Linked DNA regions of Caenorhabditis elegans. The protein of the gene in region 4 interacts with the protein of the main gene of each other region in a pairwise test. Each region holds a gene or a part of one and is shown on either strand. Other genes may lie near its edges.

Region 1 (3,008 bases), on a different chromosome or scaffold from region 4:
CTAACTTTTCGCATTGTTGTATCATGTTTCAAAAGACAATAATAAGAAAGTTGAAACATTTCAATAAACACATTGATTTGAAAAACTAGCAACAACAAAATCAAATTTTTTTGATCTGGCAGAGTTGGATCTAAATAAATCTCTGTAAACTGTTGCTTTTACTCAACATTTTTTTGTAGGTTGTCTGCTATTGTCTGCTAGAATAAGTTAAATGTTAAAATGTTTAGTCTGCGACGTTGTCCAAAGAAAAATGCAAAAACATTATTTGAAGAATTAGAAACAAAAAGGTAGACTAATAAAATATTACTATGAATAGACATTCAAACATTTCAAAAATTTTAATGACCGGGATCCTGTTACCTACATAAGCTATTGGCAAAATAAAGTAGGAATTTTAAATGACCATAAGGGATTTAGTAGTAAAAAACCAAATATCGGTGTTCTTATAGGTTTGTGGAACATATTTCACTCGTTTCTTTTATTGCACTCTAAGTGAGATAACACTTTTTTCTTTACACATCACCCTCTCGTCAGTGATTTATTGCAAGTCAAGAGCTATTGCGTGTGATCATGTGCATCTTCAACAAAATAGTCATATAACTTTATGATTTTGAAACTGAACGTTCAATTGTTTAATATATGTAGTAAATTATTCCTTCAATTTGCCAATCAAATGCTCTTGAAGTTTTTGTTCCACGATTTTCCAAGCAATGCCATGAGATACAACAAATGGTAGAACTGTTGTTACGTCCTGGAAAAATAATTGTTGGGAAACAACGTTGAAATAACATTTACACAATGTCCAAGTTTTACTGTTTTGTGTGATCTGCATTAAAAAATTAGAATGAACTTGAAACAAATAATGCAAAATTTTTTAAAAAAAATTTTTATCTAAAAAATTGCCGTTGGTTTTTGCATAAATCAATATTAAAATTTTGATAACCAGCTTATATGTAGTAACTAAAAACAAGGCTTACCTTTCCTGCATATCGAAGAATTGCTAATCCTCCAGGGTGTTGGTTGAAATATGGAGTCATATTATAAACCTGAAGAAGACATTCATCATTAAATAATACCAAAATTCAGATGTTCAGAAATGTTCTAATTTTTCTATAATTTCATTCATTTCAAAATCAACAATAAAAGTTCAATTAAACGATAATTTGCAAACCATGGGATTTATGAAATATCCAATGGAATACTTTAAACTTCAATATTTTGTATTTTTAAAACCGCAAAAAGTACCTTGTCTCTGAACAAAAGCCACAGATCATCGTGAGTGCAATGTTGTTCCACTTGACTTCTTGTATATTCTTTCAGATTATCTTCAGTTTTTGCAGTCATTCTTCTACTCAAATCGAGAAAAGAAATAAAAGAGGATCAATGAATGGAGAGGTTGCTATGAGAGCACAAGTTGAGAATAAAAATACGTGAGAGAACGGAAGCGACGTCTGGTCTTGGCATCTTGGTTCAATGAATAATTCAGCGTATTTGAATTTGAGACGAGATAGCGTTTCCGTAAGAAGCCAAGTGCACATTTTTATTCATTTTATAAACGTGGTATGCTTTATTAGTCCTTTGGTTATAGCATAACCATCTATCAAGATCTCAGTAAGAAATTATGTAGTCCGACATGTTCAAATTTGAGAAATTTGAAAAATCTTTTTAACATGTGAAGAAGCATGGAAATTGTTTTCTAATGTAATAAAACACTAACTTTTAAAGGGGTTGAGAAAAAACCCGAATTTAAACAAATTTTACGAATTTTTGTGAGCATATGTTGAAGATATTAGAAAAAATTATGGAAAAACACTTCATTTTAGTTTACATACAATGAAAGGTAGTGCATACCCGTTTCTTTTCAAATTGATAACAGGTTCAAAATTAGTAAAAATTATTATTATTATTCATCCAGCACAATCCACAAGTATATGCACAATAGTAATGACGAGCTTGCATTGAGTAGAACGGATTAACACAAAAACCATTCCATGCATACGCGGCACAACTGTAAATTAGAAAAAAAAACGAATAAAAATTAGAAAAACCACATCCATGGCTTATTGTTATTTGAATTTGAGTAGGGGTAGTAATTTTTGTTTTTATTCGTGTACCAGTTATTGAAACTATTGTAATTATTATTGAAAAAGTTAGAGCCAAAAGGCGATGCATTATTATTATTACAATCGTGACATGTGAATTTACAATTACTCCTAATTTTTTTACTTCGACACATGCCGAAAAACTTGTAAAAGTCGCAGCTGAAAATGAGAGAACTTTTGAAAATATTTGGAATTTAAACTTACTTCGGATGTAAATCCTGGCAACTGTTAACAATCGGTGCAAATGTTGTGTATGTTGCTGAGACATCAACAGATGGAGTTACAGCACGATACTCAAGAACAGCTTTTGTACTAGCATATCGATTGAATAAAATTATTGGAACTAGTGAGCCAGTTGAACGATGCACAGTGTTTTGGTCTGCAGAAGAGCAGTACCTGGAAAAAATACTCGTACATATACATATGTTAAAGTTGAGGAAATGGTAGTTATTTCATTGTAGCAAAAATAATTTTCGAAATCTGTTTCTGAGAATGAAGTGTTCCCAAGGCCTCACCGACCAATACTGGGCAATTAATTGAAAGCCTATATGATATCATTAATTTTCAACAAATTTTGTTCAAAAAATCTATAATTTAATTGATAACTAACCTGTAACCTGTCAACTTCTGGTCCTTGTGAGTCTTTATTTCGACTCCTCCAAAAATGCATCCATCAATTGTAACAGTTGTTAATCCTGATATTCTAATCTCTACCGCTTGATTATCTGGTGCTTTCACCCAATAATTACACATTGTATGGTTATCACGAAGTGTTGGAAGTCCATCTCCAATTGTGTTTGTTAATGTTTGCCATGTAGTCGTGGCAGTTACACTGTCACCACATCCAGGAGGCTGGAAAGGTAAAGATGACCCATTTGATAAAGCAGTTCACAACTAACTCTTTGG
Region 2 (3,198 bases), on a different chromosome or scaffold from region 4:
GGCGCAACGGAGGAAATAAAACTTTGGCACCGATGTATTAATGGTCGGCGAGGGGAAGTGTATGAATATTAATGATTTCGACGTTGATATTTCCTTCTGCACACACCACTCAATGGATCAGTTGAAGCCGTGAGTAATTTTGGTTGAGCTAATTGTAAATTTTTAAATTCAGATTTCTCCTTGCCGGGATCAGTAGTTGGACGGCTATTATAGATGCTCTGATTCTATTGGTACCAACAAATGTTGAGCTCAACTACATGTTTATTCAACTGTGCTTAAAGCCTATGCTAAGAAAAGTTGAAGGCCAGGACCTGGAAATCATTGAAAAAATACTTCAAGTTCAAGCAGACAATCTCCATAACTACTACATGAACAGAATGCGAACCCCTCACTATTCGGACCGCTTGACGAAAATGATGAAAATTGTTCGATTGCTGGAAGCCCACATTCGGGAGCTGAAAGAAAAAGCTCACATTGCAAAAGTGTTTGACGTATTTTCAATCGAGTTCTCGCATCCGGAAATGTTTGAATACTTTTAATGTGTTTATACAAGTATTTATCTCACGGGTAAACTTTCTAGTCTTATAAAAATATTGAAAATTCATTTTTTTTTGTTATGGAGAAGAAGAAAAATAATGAAAGAAAAAGAGATCAGGGTGGTAAGAATCAGCGTGAAATGTGTTTTCTAGGCAGGCAAAAAACGCCTACCTATGTGCCTTATAGGAACATATTTCGGCATTTTTATGCTGCCTAGAAGGTATTTTTAGATATCATAAAAACTTATTTGAATTATTGGCTTGAAACAATACAATTGTGAACCGCCTTCTCCTTACAACGATGGTGCACATTTGCCAAACAATCCGAGCATTGAACGCCTTGCTTGGAGAGCCCGTAGAGCAGGCTTCCACAGTGATCACAGAACGTTGGTCGGGTGTAGAAATGCTTGTTGAAGTGATGATTGGTGGAGACTTGGGGCTCAGTGGGCGATGGGATCCTGTGCCGAAGCTCTCCAGAATCACTGGAAAGCTCTTGTGGAGGTGGCTGGCGGGGAGATGATGGGCCGAAGTTGCAACGATCGTTTATTAAGGAATGGCAGCGTTTGTGAACAACAGTTTCACAGCCTGAAAATTAAAAATGACTTTAGTATGTACATATGCCCAGTTTTTAGCATCCGACACAGATACATACAGGCCCCGGTGAGAAGCTTAACGTAAGTCTTAAGTCTTGTTCTACTCTTGCCCGAGTTCAAAACGCCACAAGGGAATTTAAGGTCTAAATTCACAGCTGGGTCAGACTCGAATTAATTTTTCAGGGCTTAATAAATTTTCCAAAATTTAAGGAATTGTATTAAATTCAAAAAACTTACCCAAACACCTGTAGCCTTGTTTTCCGAGTCCGTAGATCAACTTGGAGCAAATTGCACAGCAGGTTGGCTGAACAAGAGCCGTGGCCTTGAACCTGTGCCCGGAAATTTCGTGGATTTTTGATCCATCCAATTGACGATCAATGAATGGATTTTCAAATTGTGGCTCGGTGGACATTGTTGGTACGGGTAGACGTGAATGAGCGAAAAACTGCTGTAGATTCAGTTGAAAATCCCGATACTCTATTTATATCTGACTCTGAGGCGCCGCCTACTTTTTGCTTGTTTGTTGTCTGCGCTCTCCACGTTCTCTAATGGTTCTTTACAACGTAGGGACGAAAAAAAAACAAGTTCAATTGGTGAAGTATGGGAAAAATGTTTGAAATAGTTCATATGAACTCAAAATAAGAATTTATGATAGGGAAATCTTTCCAAAACAAATTTGAAATTTTTTTGTGCAGTCAAAAGTGGTGAAAACTCAAAGTGGTCACACAATTGCAATCTAACAAAATATTGACAGGAAATTGTTAAAATCTAAATCTTTTGGGTTCTTTTTCTTTGAAGATTTTTCACTATTAGGGCTAAACTTTTTCAAAATAAAGAAACATCAGAGTATGAAAATTTCACAAAGAAAACAAATTGTATTAAATTTGTATTAAAAAAAATTTCTTCAAAAAATTTGAGGATACATTAGTAGCTGATTTTCAACAACTTATTGAAAAATTTATATTGAAATGTAGGAAAATGTGAGTTGAATTTAAAAATTATTTTTATCGTTAAAAAGTTTATTATAAAATAATCAAATATAATAGTTGCGTTATTAGCCGAAAAAAATATACGGCATTTTCAATGCAAACGGTAATTTCCTTTCTCTTATGAGGTTTTTATAAATTTTCAGCAAAAATTGCATTTTGAGATTGATTCTGAAATGCAAGTTTTTGTACTTTTGCTAACGATTTACACATCAGCCCAGACCAAAAATTACTGTCAGTTTTAAGATGGTACTATTAATAAAAACCGTGCGATTAAACTGTCTAACCAATTTTCCAACACTGTTTTCTTCCCACGAGACGAGTGTCTCCGTGTACGCGGCCGACACAAAAAGCGTGTCGAATACGCATTTTGTGACCTCGCTGGACACGCAGAGTGTGAGAGACCCGTCATATGTTAGACGTATTGTGAAAAATAATCAAATTTTTTGATACGATGAATTACATCTAATTTGGATTCACTGGTATCTCGCACTTTAAGGTTCAATAATGGATTCTAAAAAATCTAAATGAAGAGGGTTGCTAACAATTATTGTTTCCGGAAAACACTAACCATTTCTTTAAAAAAAATCACTCATAGGCTTTATAAACTTTTTTTCAGAAAAAAAACATTTATGTAATGGTCAAAAAATTTCCGAAAATCACCAAGTTACTACAAGGGTAAATTTCAGAAGTTAACAGAGTTGCCGATCAACGGTGTCATTTTTCGAGTTTTAGCTTTGAAAAATCGTAAAACCGACACTCTCGTTTCCAATTGCCAAAAATGTCCAAATCAGACAGTTTCAAAAATTTTCTAAAATTCCTATGATTGTGGTTTTCTAAAATTCCTATGATTGTGGTTTTCTAAAATTCCTATGATTGTGCCTGGAAATGAAGAATTATCAAATTGAATTTCTCTTTGCACGCATGGAGGACACAAAAAACCGATTCTCATTCCCAATTCTATTGCTCATCTCTAATTCTCTACCTCCCTAGTGTTCTTCGGCAACATTGAACATTGAACAAACAATTTTTTCGTCTTATCAAAACTGTTTCGGATTTTCATAAAATTTACCCTTCCTCTAA
Region 3 (7,627 bases), on a different chromosome or scaffold from region 4:
GCAATTTTGAACAGGATATTTAAATTTTTCCAAAATCACAGTTCAATATTACAAAACTATTTTTGCAATTTTTTTCAAAGTTACGGTATTCGGTCTCGACGCGACAAATTTATGTTGAATGAAAAGATGTGTGCGTCTTAAAGAGTACTGTAATTTCAAACATTTTTACGAAAAACTATAAAAATTCCAAAGTAACGAGATCTTTTGATTTACAGTACTTTTTAAAAGCGCACAGCCTCTTGTATTTAATGAAAATTTGTTGTGTCGAGAACTGGTACAGTAATTTTCGAAAATTTTTTTTTCAAAAATTTCCTGGTACAGTAAATAAAATAATAAATAAATATACCTACCAATTTTACTCGCACGAATACACTGAACACGTTCCCAACGATCATCGATAAAAGCCGCGTAGAATCTAAATTTTCAAATATTTAGCTTAAATTTTTTCAAATCAAAAAAAAAAGTCTCACCCTCCAAAATCAGGAGAACTTTCCAGTTGAGAATCAGGCAGAGCACATTCGTCTTTCAACTTTGCATACATATAATCGGGCATCGGGTCTAATGAAAGTTGCCGTAATGAGATGTCCGTGGGTCCTGCAGCGAAAATTGCATTTGCTGGGAACGCTGACATCGGCATTTGAGCAACGGTCATTGGTTGGATCTGAAAATGTTATTCTAAAATTTCTAAACATCAATAGAAGATATTTACCGTCGCAGGTTTGTCAAAAAGACATGTCAAACTGGATGTTGAAGCAGAAGCCGGAGTAATAGGTGAAGTTGTTTTTGTTGGAGTACTCAATCGAACAACTCCAGATGGTTTTTTAAGAAATTCGGTAATTGATAAGCCATCAGAACTTTGAAGATCTACAACTGGTAAAGATTCGGAGTCTGAGGAGTCAAACTTTGAAAGCTGAAAAAATATTCGTGAGATATTATACTTGTAAATAAATATTACTCACTGTTAGATTTATCGGAACCTGAATTCCATCATCTTTTGTCTCGAATGTTAAATCAACAAATTTATTATTCAACCTCAATGATTCTTCTTCACTGACATCCATACGAACTTCTCGAGCCATTGATCCGACTGAAAATTCATTGAAATTTTAAATTAAACGTGAAATTTATAAATTGATTTCTCATACTTTTTTATATTTTTTTTCTTGGTTAATACACGTTAGCAAAAAAGAAACAAAAATCAAAATTAGTATCACTTTTTGAAGATGTTCAGCGCTCTTTTTCTGTTAGCTCTAGTGGTTTTGGTGAGTTTTTAAATATTTTTTTCAATTATAATTTTTTTATAATCCGACATTTCTAGACCGTTAACGGGTTCGATAGGAAAGTACACAGTTTCGCTTCGGATGATGATTTGAGTATTGAGTGAGTTTGAGATACTTCCTTTTTTGAATTAACCTAACTGTTTTAGACATCTAAAAGATCATTACGGGAACAAGATTGAAATCGAAAAGCACACATCATCGAAAGATCGAAAGTTTTATTATTTTAAAGTTGGTGACACCAATCAGGATAATCATTTGGATGGTGTTGAACTCTTCAAAATGATAACGGAACACTCGGATGAGAAAACTAAAATGGATGTAGAGATGATTGAAGTACAAGCTGATCTAGTTCTCAGGTATTATTAAGACGCACAAAAAGGCGTCTTTATTAGAAATTGAAATGATAGAAATTGAAGTGGAAGCGCGCTACACTGCCAAATAAAAGTGCTCCGCCCACGACCCATAGGTCTCGTTAGGTATAATTTTCAAGCATTATACGCCTGTTTTGTTATGTTTTCCGTTAGCTTTATTGATTTTGAAGTTATAAAAAAACAATAATAAAAACAAATAACTGCTTAAAAATCGGCGAAATTAATTGAAAACGTTTTGCCGTCAAATACCTAACGAAATACGTGGATTGGGGGCGGAGCGTTGTCAATTGACCATACATCTCGTTTCCATGTCGATTACAAAAGGGCTCTCATCATCGATAATGATATTTCAAAAATATACATTTTCAGCGAACTCGATAAAAATGGAGATGGGATGATCAGTTTCAGCGAATATTCAAAGAAGTTCTCATAGACTCGAATATTGCTTTTTAATTTTACTCTATAAATTAACTTTCTACCTATTTTTGTGATTATTTTTAGATTTTAATAAAAATTTAAAAAAACTCACTTGACATTACTGGATGCACAGCAGGTGGTAAGAGTCTTATCGCCGCCACAGGGAATTTCTCACAGACGCCAACATCCACAAAATGGCACATGACTTGTCCGGATTGTGGTGGCTGCTTGGCAATTACACGAAACCATGTTCCATTCGAATCTTGAAGGGCATAAGCTCCACCAGCCACAATTTCCTGTAATTAATGAATACAGTTGTCTCATTTATGTAAAAGTACCAGGGCTGGGCATTTTTTGGATTTTTCGAACCAAAAAGGCAACAAAAAACCACTTTGGAACTCCAAACGTTTTTTGTAGATCTACAAAGTATATTTTACAAGTTTCGGGTTTTTTATAGTTTTTAATTCGTTATCCGAAATATTAGTTTTTGAATTCTTTTATTCATCTTTGTATGTTTATCAAAAAATATTTACGTTTTTTAATTGTTTCAACAACTTCAATTTTTTTCTTTTTTCGTCGGAAGCCAGTTGAGCACATGAACTTACATAAATTGCAACTCGACTATCGAGTGCCGATGGCGGAGTTTCTTGAGCATAAATCTCAGCGAGCGTAGTTCCAATTTTTTCATACTGATCGTCATCCGCGAGAGCTCGAATAAAGAATCTCTTTGGCGAATCTGCATAGACGATTGACACAGTTGATCCTTCTTTTAGAGCGACAGATTGTTGAGAAAGCTGAATATTAAATAAAATTGATCTTAAAAAATTGAATTTAAAAAACATACCGTTTTTGCATGCTCCGTTGGCTCATTCTCTTTTCTTTGTTTAATTTTTTTCAACTCATCCGCAGTTGGTTCTCGATCCGTGGAAATGACTGAATAAGTATTGAATGTTTAAATGTTTCAAAAAGAATACAAAATATTTTTAGAAAACATTTGGTGCAGAACAAAAAACAAATTACGAGTGAGTATATAATTACACAACGATTAGAACTCACTGAAATCGGAATTCAATTCCTCCATATTCGAATTAAGGTTAGAGAAGACAGAGGGGGCGTGGTGTTAATGCGAATTGGGCAAGCTGAAAGTAGGGATTAGATGAAGCATCAGCAGCAGGAGGCTTTGGATGATGGGATCAATTTCATGCAATGAAGGGATAGGCTAAGCAAAGAATAAAGGGGATTGGACAGTAAAGAGGTGATGTTAATTAAGTCGTTGAAATGTGAGTATATATTAGGTTGGGAATACTTATGACCGAGTAAATAAATAGAAGAATTGGCGGGAATTTTTAATTTAATCGTTTGTAATACTGTTTGAACAGGTTCCTTTGATTTAGCAATTATTTACTTCATCACTTTTGAAATAATCAGAATTAATTTCTAGTATATTTTTTTTGAAAAACGTGAACTTCATATTGTAGTAATTTTTTACAACAGTGGTTTGTCAAGGGACGTTTTCCTTTTTTTTTAACAATTTGTGTTTCAAAAAGCTATTGATGAGGTAAGAATTTTGTTTCGACGAATCTAAAATAGTCTTAAATTAAGAAATATCATTTAAAAAATCAAAAAAGAATGAAAAATTATACACACTTTTTAACCTATCAGACAGATTTTTCATTTCTTGTCGATTTTCATCATTTTTTCGTATTTCATGATTATTTTGAGTAATTTTAAGTAAACCCCTCATTTTCCGTTTTTTTTGCAGTTTACCCAATGAAATAATCGAATGGATTTTCTTGGGATCCATCCTGTTGCTCACACTTTTCTCAATAATTATGGGTGGTTATTTGACAATGCGGATTAGGAGGGTATTTTCTTTTTGAATTTATTCAGTTAATTCTAAATATTTTAGATGGGCGGATTCAATCTGAAAATTTCATACAGGCCACCGGATTCTGAAGCAGAAACTAAGAAGAAGAAAAAGCAAAAACTAATTATTTGATTTTTAAATATTTTTCGAATAAAAATAAATTAGTAATTTTACTAGTAACACTTCAAACTAATAATTTAGGTCGAGGGACAAAGAGACATAGAAAGGACAAGAAAAGGACAGTTATTCTGTATGTGTGTCCCCGTTTTCCGACAGCATGTTCACATAATTGTTATTTCTTTTCACTTTTTGAGTGTCTATTTAAATGTATTCAGAATGTATTCATTCACCTCGTACATTTACTGAATTTATGGGTGGTCTTTTGAACGATGATGTGTTTGAGAGACGGACGAACAGTATGGTGATGGGGCCGCGTGTCTGGAAATTGCTTTTTTTGGAATAATTTTTTAGTCTTTATTTCTCGAAAAGTAGCGGTTTTCATGAAAAATTACGATAATGGGTCTCGGGACGATTTGAAATTATTTGCGCTACAATATGTGAAGAGTACTGTAGTTATGACCATTGAAGTCGTTTTTTTTGTTTTTGTTTGTGTCGTACTCGTGTCGTACTCGTGAATGGCGCACACTCTTTTAAGTTTTCAATCGCGTCGAGACCGGGTACCGTAATTTAGGTGATATAATACTTTTGATAGCTTAGAATATACCTGAGCTTCAAACTCTTCTGCAGCAGTGACTTGCTGAATCCAATCTTCGGGAAGTTCACGTCCAAGTCCTTTTGAAACAAATCTGAAAACCAAAAAACTTTTGAATTTTCTAAAAAAAACAGTAATTACTATCAAGAGCGCCATCGAAAATTTTTCGCTTTTTCTAGAAAAATATCGACAAATCGAAAATTTATCAAAAATACATAGATTTTGATATTTTAATGATTAAAAAATAACATGTATTTTTTAGTGGTGAAACGATCCGGAATTATTAAAAATTTGATTTTTTTTTTCGATTTTTCTTTGAAAAAAACATTTTGAAAAATATCTACAAAAAAAACCTACTCCTCATGATATTTTTCCGAAAGATGAGTTGCTGCAACACCCATTGGAAAATTAGTTTTGATCATCTCATATAGAACTTCTCGAATCTCTTCCATTTCTTCCGAAACATCCATGTCCGAGTTAACTGAAACCATTATGATGATGAAATGTGACTTTTGAAAACAACAAAAAAAAAGTAGAAAATCGGAAAAATTTTCGGATTATTTTTGTTTTCTGTTTGAGTGTGTGAGAATTGTGATGTTTTTGTAGTCCGACAGAAAAATCAATTTTTCTGCCGGGAAAGAGAAAAACGAAAAAAATTTATTTAGCTTTTCAATACTTTGTTGATTTTTTCTTTGTGATTGTTAAAATAACAAAATTTTTGCCTATTTATTTTTAAAAAGATTTTTCATTTTGATTTTTCATAGTTTCTCGTTTTCCAAAATTTTCCAACTATTTTTTAATTTTTTTAGGTTTGCTTCAAATTAAAAAAAAATAGACCGTAATTGCCGAATAAGCCTGTTAAAAAATTTAAATTATTTTTCTAAATTTGTTTTTCTTTAATTTTTGGTTTGAAAAACTGATGACAACCTCCCATTTTTGGAAAATTGAACGAAAAAATCGAAAATTCAATGTTTATTAATTTTTTGTTGAAAATCCCTGACATTACTGACAACTTAAACGTTTTTTTTTTCTGAAAATTGAAAAATCTATTTTTAAAAATTCAGGAATTTTTTTTTAATTTTTAAACGTTTTCAATTAACATTTTTTAATAATTTCCTCTGCTGGAAAATGCTTTAAAATTTGTCATATTCACCAGTTTTATTTTTGTAAAATTGAAAAAATCATAAAATAATTTTTTTATCAGTCATATTCGGTCATTACTGTCCATTTTGTATGATTTATAGAAAAAAAAACTTACTTCGATCAAAAATGGTAGACGGCACCAAACCATTAACCGCCGACATGAATTTTGCAGACGAAGATGATGACGTGCCATCTGGCGGTGTTGTCATCTGAAAATTGAAAGAAATATGGAAATAGAGGTATTGCTTGGAGAGAATGCAGAATGCAGAGGCAAGAAATCGAAGCAGTAATTCGAGAAGGAGATGGGGTGAATCAAGTGGGGGATTAGATGGAAAAGAAGAAGAAAAAGGTGGTGAAGACTTGTCACACACTCATACTTTCTTTATGCAATGTGTATCTGGATTGAATTGTGAAACAATAGAACAATTTTATAAATTTTTTACAAAAAAATTGGTATTTTAGCGCCAAAAAATGCAAAAAAAAAATCCTTAGTGTACTTCAAACATTTTACATATTTTCCAAAATATTTTTTTGAGAAATATGTTTTTTAAATGACTTTTTTCTAACAAGTATTTATTTTTGATATATTTTTCAAAGGTTAATTTGCTAGAATAATTACAGTTAGAGCGCAAACTCAAAAATGTTCAAGTATCGAAATAAATCCAAATTTGACTTTTTTTGTTTCTCGAATTTTTCTTGTCTCAGCTTTGATTGTCAGTTAACTTTTCTTAAAAGAAAACAGTAAAAATAAATCAATATAAAAAATTGGGGAAAACACTCAAAAAGTTGAGTTTGTCTTGACGTGGAAATGAACGGAAGGCAAACATGGACACGGCCCTTGTTTGACACTTTCTTTCGCAATTTCTTCGCCTGACTGTTCATTGTGCATTAGAACAAAGGTCGAAGAGTTCATTGATCCAGATCTTTGGCGTTTTTTATTCGCAAAAATATAGAGAAGATTACTGATACTATAGGGTCAAAACCACTTCTATTTCAAAAAATTTAGAATTTAAACAAATCTTCAAAAGCCAAAAAAAAAAAAAAAAAAGAAATACATTTCCTGTGTACCAACTGAAATCACAACACCCTATTCCACGTGTGTGAAAGTTTAACTATAGACCAGGAAAAACTACATCGACACAGACTGTAAAAGGAAGGAATTATATATTCGGTTGCTTGTCTCGTTGTTCCCATTGTTCCAACGAGGAGAGGGAATAAAAAGTGGCAAGAAAGAATGAGATTTGTTATTATTTTATTATTCGAATGTGAAATGTAGGTGGATAAAATAAAAGTGGTGAAATTCAAATATATCTGAATAATTCAGAAAACTAATTTCTAATACCAAGCTGGTCCACTAATCAATGATAAGCAAATAAAGTGAACTGTTAAGACAATACGGACCGCATGGGAAAGTAAGCAAAGCAGAGCTATACTCAGAGAGACGCAGACACATATACAGAACACAGTACATGTAGATGGACACGTCGATTTTCTTTTCCGTTTTGCGCCAAATATTCATCGGATGAGAACGGGTGTTTAGAGGGGAAGACAACGGAAAATATCACAGGGATTTCGGAGGGAGAAGCATTGAAGAATATTGCAAAGAGCTTATGTTTGTACAGGCGGACAGAGACTATTGCAGTTGCATCAGTAGATACAGTGGAAACATTTTGAAATTAAAATCCACGTGGGAAATCTAACAAAAATTAGAAAATATAACTTTTTTCCACTTCCACGATTTTCAAGGAGGTGCATTTATTTTAGAATGGTCTCGCCACGCATTGCGAACTAACCTAACAAATTAAGGCGCGCCTTTAAGATTACTGATTTTGTTAGC
Region 4 (3,840 bases):
TGACTAGGTTAAAATGGCCTATATCCCTCCGAATCAAGTGAAAATGAGAGCCAGTATGCATCCAGAAATGACAGATACACACTCTCATCCATTGCCTTTTTCCAATTCTCAGTCATATTTTGGCGAGTGAGAGCGGCGGGCGGACACGGACACGGACAACCAGACGCACAGAGTCGGTACCAAGCAGCACCGGCCGTCTCGTACGTCTCTCTGTCCGTGCACAGTGAGAGACAGGAAGAAAAACTAGTGGAAATAGTGAGTAGGACATAGAGACGCAGACGTTTGCTAGATGAACATTTGCAACTCTGTGAGACAACTAGGAGCAAGAAAAAACGGACGATGATGTGAGACTAGAAATGTTTCAAATAATGTGTAAAAGCTGTAGGTTTTAGATTCATGAGGGTTTCGAGGAGAAACCAATCTGGCATTCAACAATAAATAGAATTAGGCCTGCCTTTTTCAAATCACAGGTTGAAGGACCGTAAATATTTGTGTCTCTAGGCATAGGTTAGGGATGGATAGAACGGTAAACAACCAAACAAACACTTTTTGAAAACTTTATTTCGAACACTTTTCTCAAGTTAAGATCCCACACGTTTTGGAGTCATTTTCAGGGGCTTCGGAGACGGAATGTACGGGATGCGAACTTCTGGGGCAGGATCCGATGGCAAGGTGGCTGGAACTGGAGCAGGGGCTGATGCGGCGGTTGTTTTGATGATGCATGGAGGATTCTTGCACGGTTTCTTGTAGAAATCTTTGTTTGCCTTCATAATCTCCAAAACATCAGGAGGAAGAAGCTGCAAAGAAGAAAATAAAAACATGTTTTGGTAAATGAAATGATAAGAGGAAATGGGTTCAAACTGACCACATCAAACTGCTTGTTGGCTTTTCCTTGGGGTGGTTTTGGAGGAGGAAGCATCACTGAATTTCCAGATTTCTTCACTCCAGCAGGTGTGCTCTGTGCACCATCGGGAGGCGGTGGAGCAGGACCAAGTGGATCAGTAGTTGTGGATCTTTCCAATGTAAGACGGACCGTTTTTGTGTTGTTGACACTCGCGTAGAGAAGCTGAAAGTAAGTTAATTACTAAAATAAAATAAGAAAAATACTACAATACCTTTCTAGCAGAGTCACGATCAAGAACATAAATGTCATTAACTTTAACAAGAATATCTCCATCCTTGACATAGTGACACGCATTGGAAGCCGATTGAACCATTGAAATAGTCACAGTTTTTGGATCAACTGCCATCTGTAAATCATCCATGAAAGTATAAATTGTCCCTGATTACTAACTCTATGAATGATAATCCCTGTTGCAGCACCTCCACGATAAGTGAAAGTCAACTCAACCATTTGAGTATTTGGACGACGTGGTGGCATTGGTTTTTCAGTGACAAGGCAATGATCGTCTCGCATGAATTCAATTGTCACTTTTCCGGGAAGTTTTGCACTAATTGCACGGATAAAGTCAGCAGTTGTCTTGATGTTCTGGAAATGTTTGATTAGTTGAAACGGAAAATCTTAAAATATTCCTTACAGTTTCTCCATTGACATTCAGAATCTCATCACCAGCAAATAGAACACCCATCAGTTGGCTACTCACATCCACATATGTAATCTGCAATGTGATTATTCAAGATCTCTTCGATTTTTGAATTGAAAATGAGTCTTTTTACAGCCTCGAAGGAAATTGCAACCGGACTTCTTATTTATTAAAGAGTGTTCTACTGTTCTACACATCAGGGCTTTTGAAGTTTTATTCGGCTCTCGACGCGAGCCCTGTGTTGGATTCTTTATTTACCTTTCCATTGACCACATCACATGCTACAACCACATTTTTCCGTTCGAATTGTACTTCTTCTTTTCCTTTTACATGAAAACTATTGTTGTTGGTTGCCATCTGTAAATAGTACGTGTCTATCTCACAGCAACCCACTCTCGCGTCTCCTGTAACTAGTCGAGCGTCTATGCCTTTGGACCCAGCGCACTCGCTGGCCTCCTTAGCTCAGTTGGTAGAGCGTGAGACTTTTAATCTTAAGGTCAGGGGTTCGAGTCCCCTAGGTGGCTTGATTTTTTGCAGTCTGAATATTAACTTACCCCGAATAGATTGATGCGAAGATGAAAGCAACTGTCGACAAGGAAATATTTGAAACTGATTCAGTTTCTCTTTTCACTTTTTATTTTCTGATTTTTTTCTGTGTAAAACGAATTCAAACGATGTCACGCGGGTATATTTATTAAATTAATTAAATTATTTATTATTAATTAAAATTATTATATTTTGATGAGATCAATGGAATGGAACAATCCAATCAGCGTTGTCTTCTGCTTTTGTCACTTTCTTTTCACTTCCTCTTACAAACTTTGAAAGTCTTGAACGAATTGTATTCAGATCTTTGCTGTATGTTGGGGCGCTGAAATTAATTAATATTAGATTATTTTCTCCTGATTTGAGTAATTCACCTATGAGCTCTAGCTTCGGACGTTGTGTCATTATCAGATTCTTCAGTTTGAACAGTTTCCATAGCTTTTTCAGCTGGTTTCATAGTTGTAGTTGTGATTCCAAGAAGACGTTGGAAACTTGGTGGCATTGTCAATGCAGGCATTGTTGGCATTCCAGGAATTGGAGTGAAAGTTGGGAAAGTATGTGGAGCAAGAGTTGGAAGAGTTGGAAGGCCTTCTGCAGACAGGACTGGTACAGGTACTGGAATGAATTGTGGAAGTGGAAGAAGTGGTGGAAGAAGTGGAAGTGTCATTGGAAGTGGTTTAGCTGGAGCTCTTTTCACTGAACGATTAGCTTTTTGAGCTGGAAGTGTAACAACTGCTGGAGCACGTCGGATTCCTGTAGAAGCTGGACGAAGAGATTTAGCAAAAGGAGCATATGCCGATAATGATGGGAGGGGTGATCTGAAGAATAGATTAAAGAAAAAATGGAATAAATGTTAAACCTTCGAACATCTCCTCTCGGTCTTAAAGCACTTGCTCTCGGTACAACTTCATAACATGCAACGAATCCTGAAATGTTGAAATTAATTGAATTTTGAAGTCAAATATATTGATCAACTGAAAATTATATAGAAGCAATTTTTCTGGACTGGTTTTTTTTGCGATTTCGTGCAAGACGAAGAAAATATGAGAATCGAAATTTGGTTATTTATAGAACGTTTCAATTTATTGACGTACAAGCAGAATTCATATTGGGTAAAATTGTTATGACTAAGAAGTTTTGGATATGTCAAATAAATTAGTTATGTATTTTTCTTAATATTTTTTAAAACAAATTTGAACATATTTTAACCCAATTAGATAAATATTTCCTTTACCATTTAGAGCTAAATTTAGGGATAAATCAACGAAACAATCGAAAAACTAACCGATGACACAAACAGCTAACAGAAGAAGCTTCATTGTTGATTCTTTCCACAAAAATGAGAAGACGAAAAAGATAGAATAAGCCTCGAAGGCGTCGCTTCTTATCACTTTTCTTCCTACGATTTCTCGTTTTGCCCTTATCAATTAGCCATCATTTTGTGGAAATCTCAATGAAAATTCCCGTTGAAAATGAAAAAAGACAATGGATATCCACCACTTGTACACTGTCTTCAATAAGATGAAAGTTCAGCTAACATTAGTTTTTACAAACAGGGATATATTGGATTATCGTGATATTGAACTTGCTAGATTTTTATTTAATTCTATGTTGTTCAGAACATTAGTGTTCGCTGTCAATTTTTAACATATACTTTGTAAAGTATCCCACTTGTGACATGGTTTTACAACAATGCTATGCAAATTTGAGGACACTCAAATAATGGGCGGGACATAGATGATACTCGAGG

What was found.
Region 1: the proteins of mpz-3 (region 4) and F58B4.2 interact in a two-hybrid assay, tested with the Caenorhabditis elegans proteins (one large-scale study listed by BioGRID).
Region 2: the proteins of mpz-3 (region 4) and F48G7.10 interact in a two-hybrid assay, tested with the Caenorhabditis elegans proteins (one large-scale study listed by BioGRID).
Region 3: the proteins of mpz-3 (region 4) and tag-250 interact in a two-hybrid assay, tested with the Caenorhabditis elegans proteins (one large-scale study listed by BioGRID).

What each region holds. Positions count from the first base shown.
Region 1 is NC_003283.11:10,917,058-10,920,065, forward strand, and holds F58B4.2 (Cytochrome b5 heme-binding domain-containing protein), read right to left. Parts: upstream 1,417-3,008; 5' UTR 1,345-1,416; coding exon 1,246-1,344; intron 1,047-1,245; coding exon 978-1,046; intron 752-977; coding exon 650-751; 3' UTR 535-649; downstream 1-534. Other genes in the region: Zinc metalloproteinase nas-31, read right to left, coding at 2,039-2,261, 2,307-2,498, 2,713-2,954, 3,002-3,008.
Region 2 is NC_003283.11:633,353-636,550, forward strand, and holds F48G7.10 (Phorbol-ester/DAG-type domain-containing protein), read right to left. Parts: upstream 1,604-3,198; 5' UTR 1,542-1,603; coding exon 1,367-1,541; intron 1,122-1,366; coding exon 790-1,121; 3' UTR 549-789; downstream 1-548.
Region 3 is NC_003281.10:7,918,917-7,926,543, forward strand, and holds the start of tag-250 (Putative protein tag-250), read right to left. Parts: upstream 6,006-7,627; 5' UTR 6,000-6,005; coding exon 5,906-5,999; intron 5,129-5,905; coding exon 5,005-5,128; intron 4,742-5,004; coding exon 4,660-4,741; intron 4,374-4,659; coding exon 4,286-4,373; intron 4,104-4,285; exon of another isoform or gene 4,068-4,103; coding exon of another isoform or gene 3,978-4,067; intron 3,934-3,977; coding exon of another isoform or gene 3,831-3,933; intron 3,627-3,830; coding exon of another isoform or gene 3,622-3,626; exon of another isoform or gene 3,591-3,621; intron 3,208-3,590; coding exon of another isoform or gene 3,137-3,207; exon of another isoform or gene 3,125-3,136; intron 3,002-3,124; coding exon 2,913-3,001; intron 2,863-2,912; coding exon 2,674-2,862; intron 2,365-2,673; coding exon 2,181-2,364; intron 2,175-2,180; exon of another isoform or gene 2,085-2,174; coding exon of another isoform or gene 2,021-2,084; intron 1,637-2,020; coding exon of another isoform or gene 1,427-1,636; intron 1,381-1,426; coding exon of another isoform or gene 1,319-1,380; intron 1,263-1,318; coding exon of another isoform or gene 1,224-1,262; exon of another isoform or gene 1,207-1,223; intron 1,088-1,206; coding exon 960-1,087; intron 911-959; coding exon 710-910; and 7 more. Other genes in the region: C29E4.14 (EF-hand domain-containing protein), read left to right, coding at 1,224-1,262, 1,319-1,380, 1,427-1,636, 2,021-2,084; C29E4.17 (Spiroplasma plectrovirus-related protein), read left to right, coding at 3,622-3,626, 3,831-3,933, 3,978-4,067.
Region 4 is NC_003280.10:6,563,253-6,567,092, forward strand, and holds mpz-3 (PDZ domain-containing protein), read right to left. Parts: upstream 2,145-3,840; 5' UTR 2,099-2,144; intron 2,069-2,098; exon of another isoform or gene 1,996-2,068; intron 1,902-1,995; coding exon 1,803-1,901; intron 1,620-1,802; coding exon 1,539-1,619; intron 1,490-1,538; coding exon 1,295-1,489; intron 1,251-1,294; coding exon 1,116-1,250; intron 1,067-1,115; coding exon 866-1,066; intron 798-865; coding exon 582-797; 3' UTR 542-581; downstream 1-541. Other genes in the region: F18C5.5 (Vegetative cell wall protein gp1-like), read right to left, coding at 2,292-2,415, 2,465-2,908, 2,950-3,016, 3,376-3,409.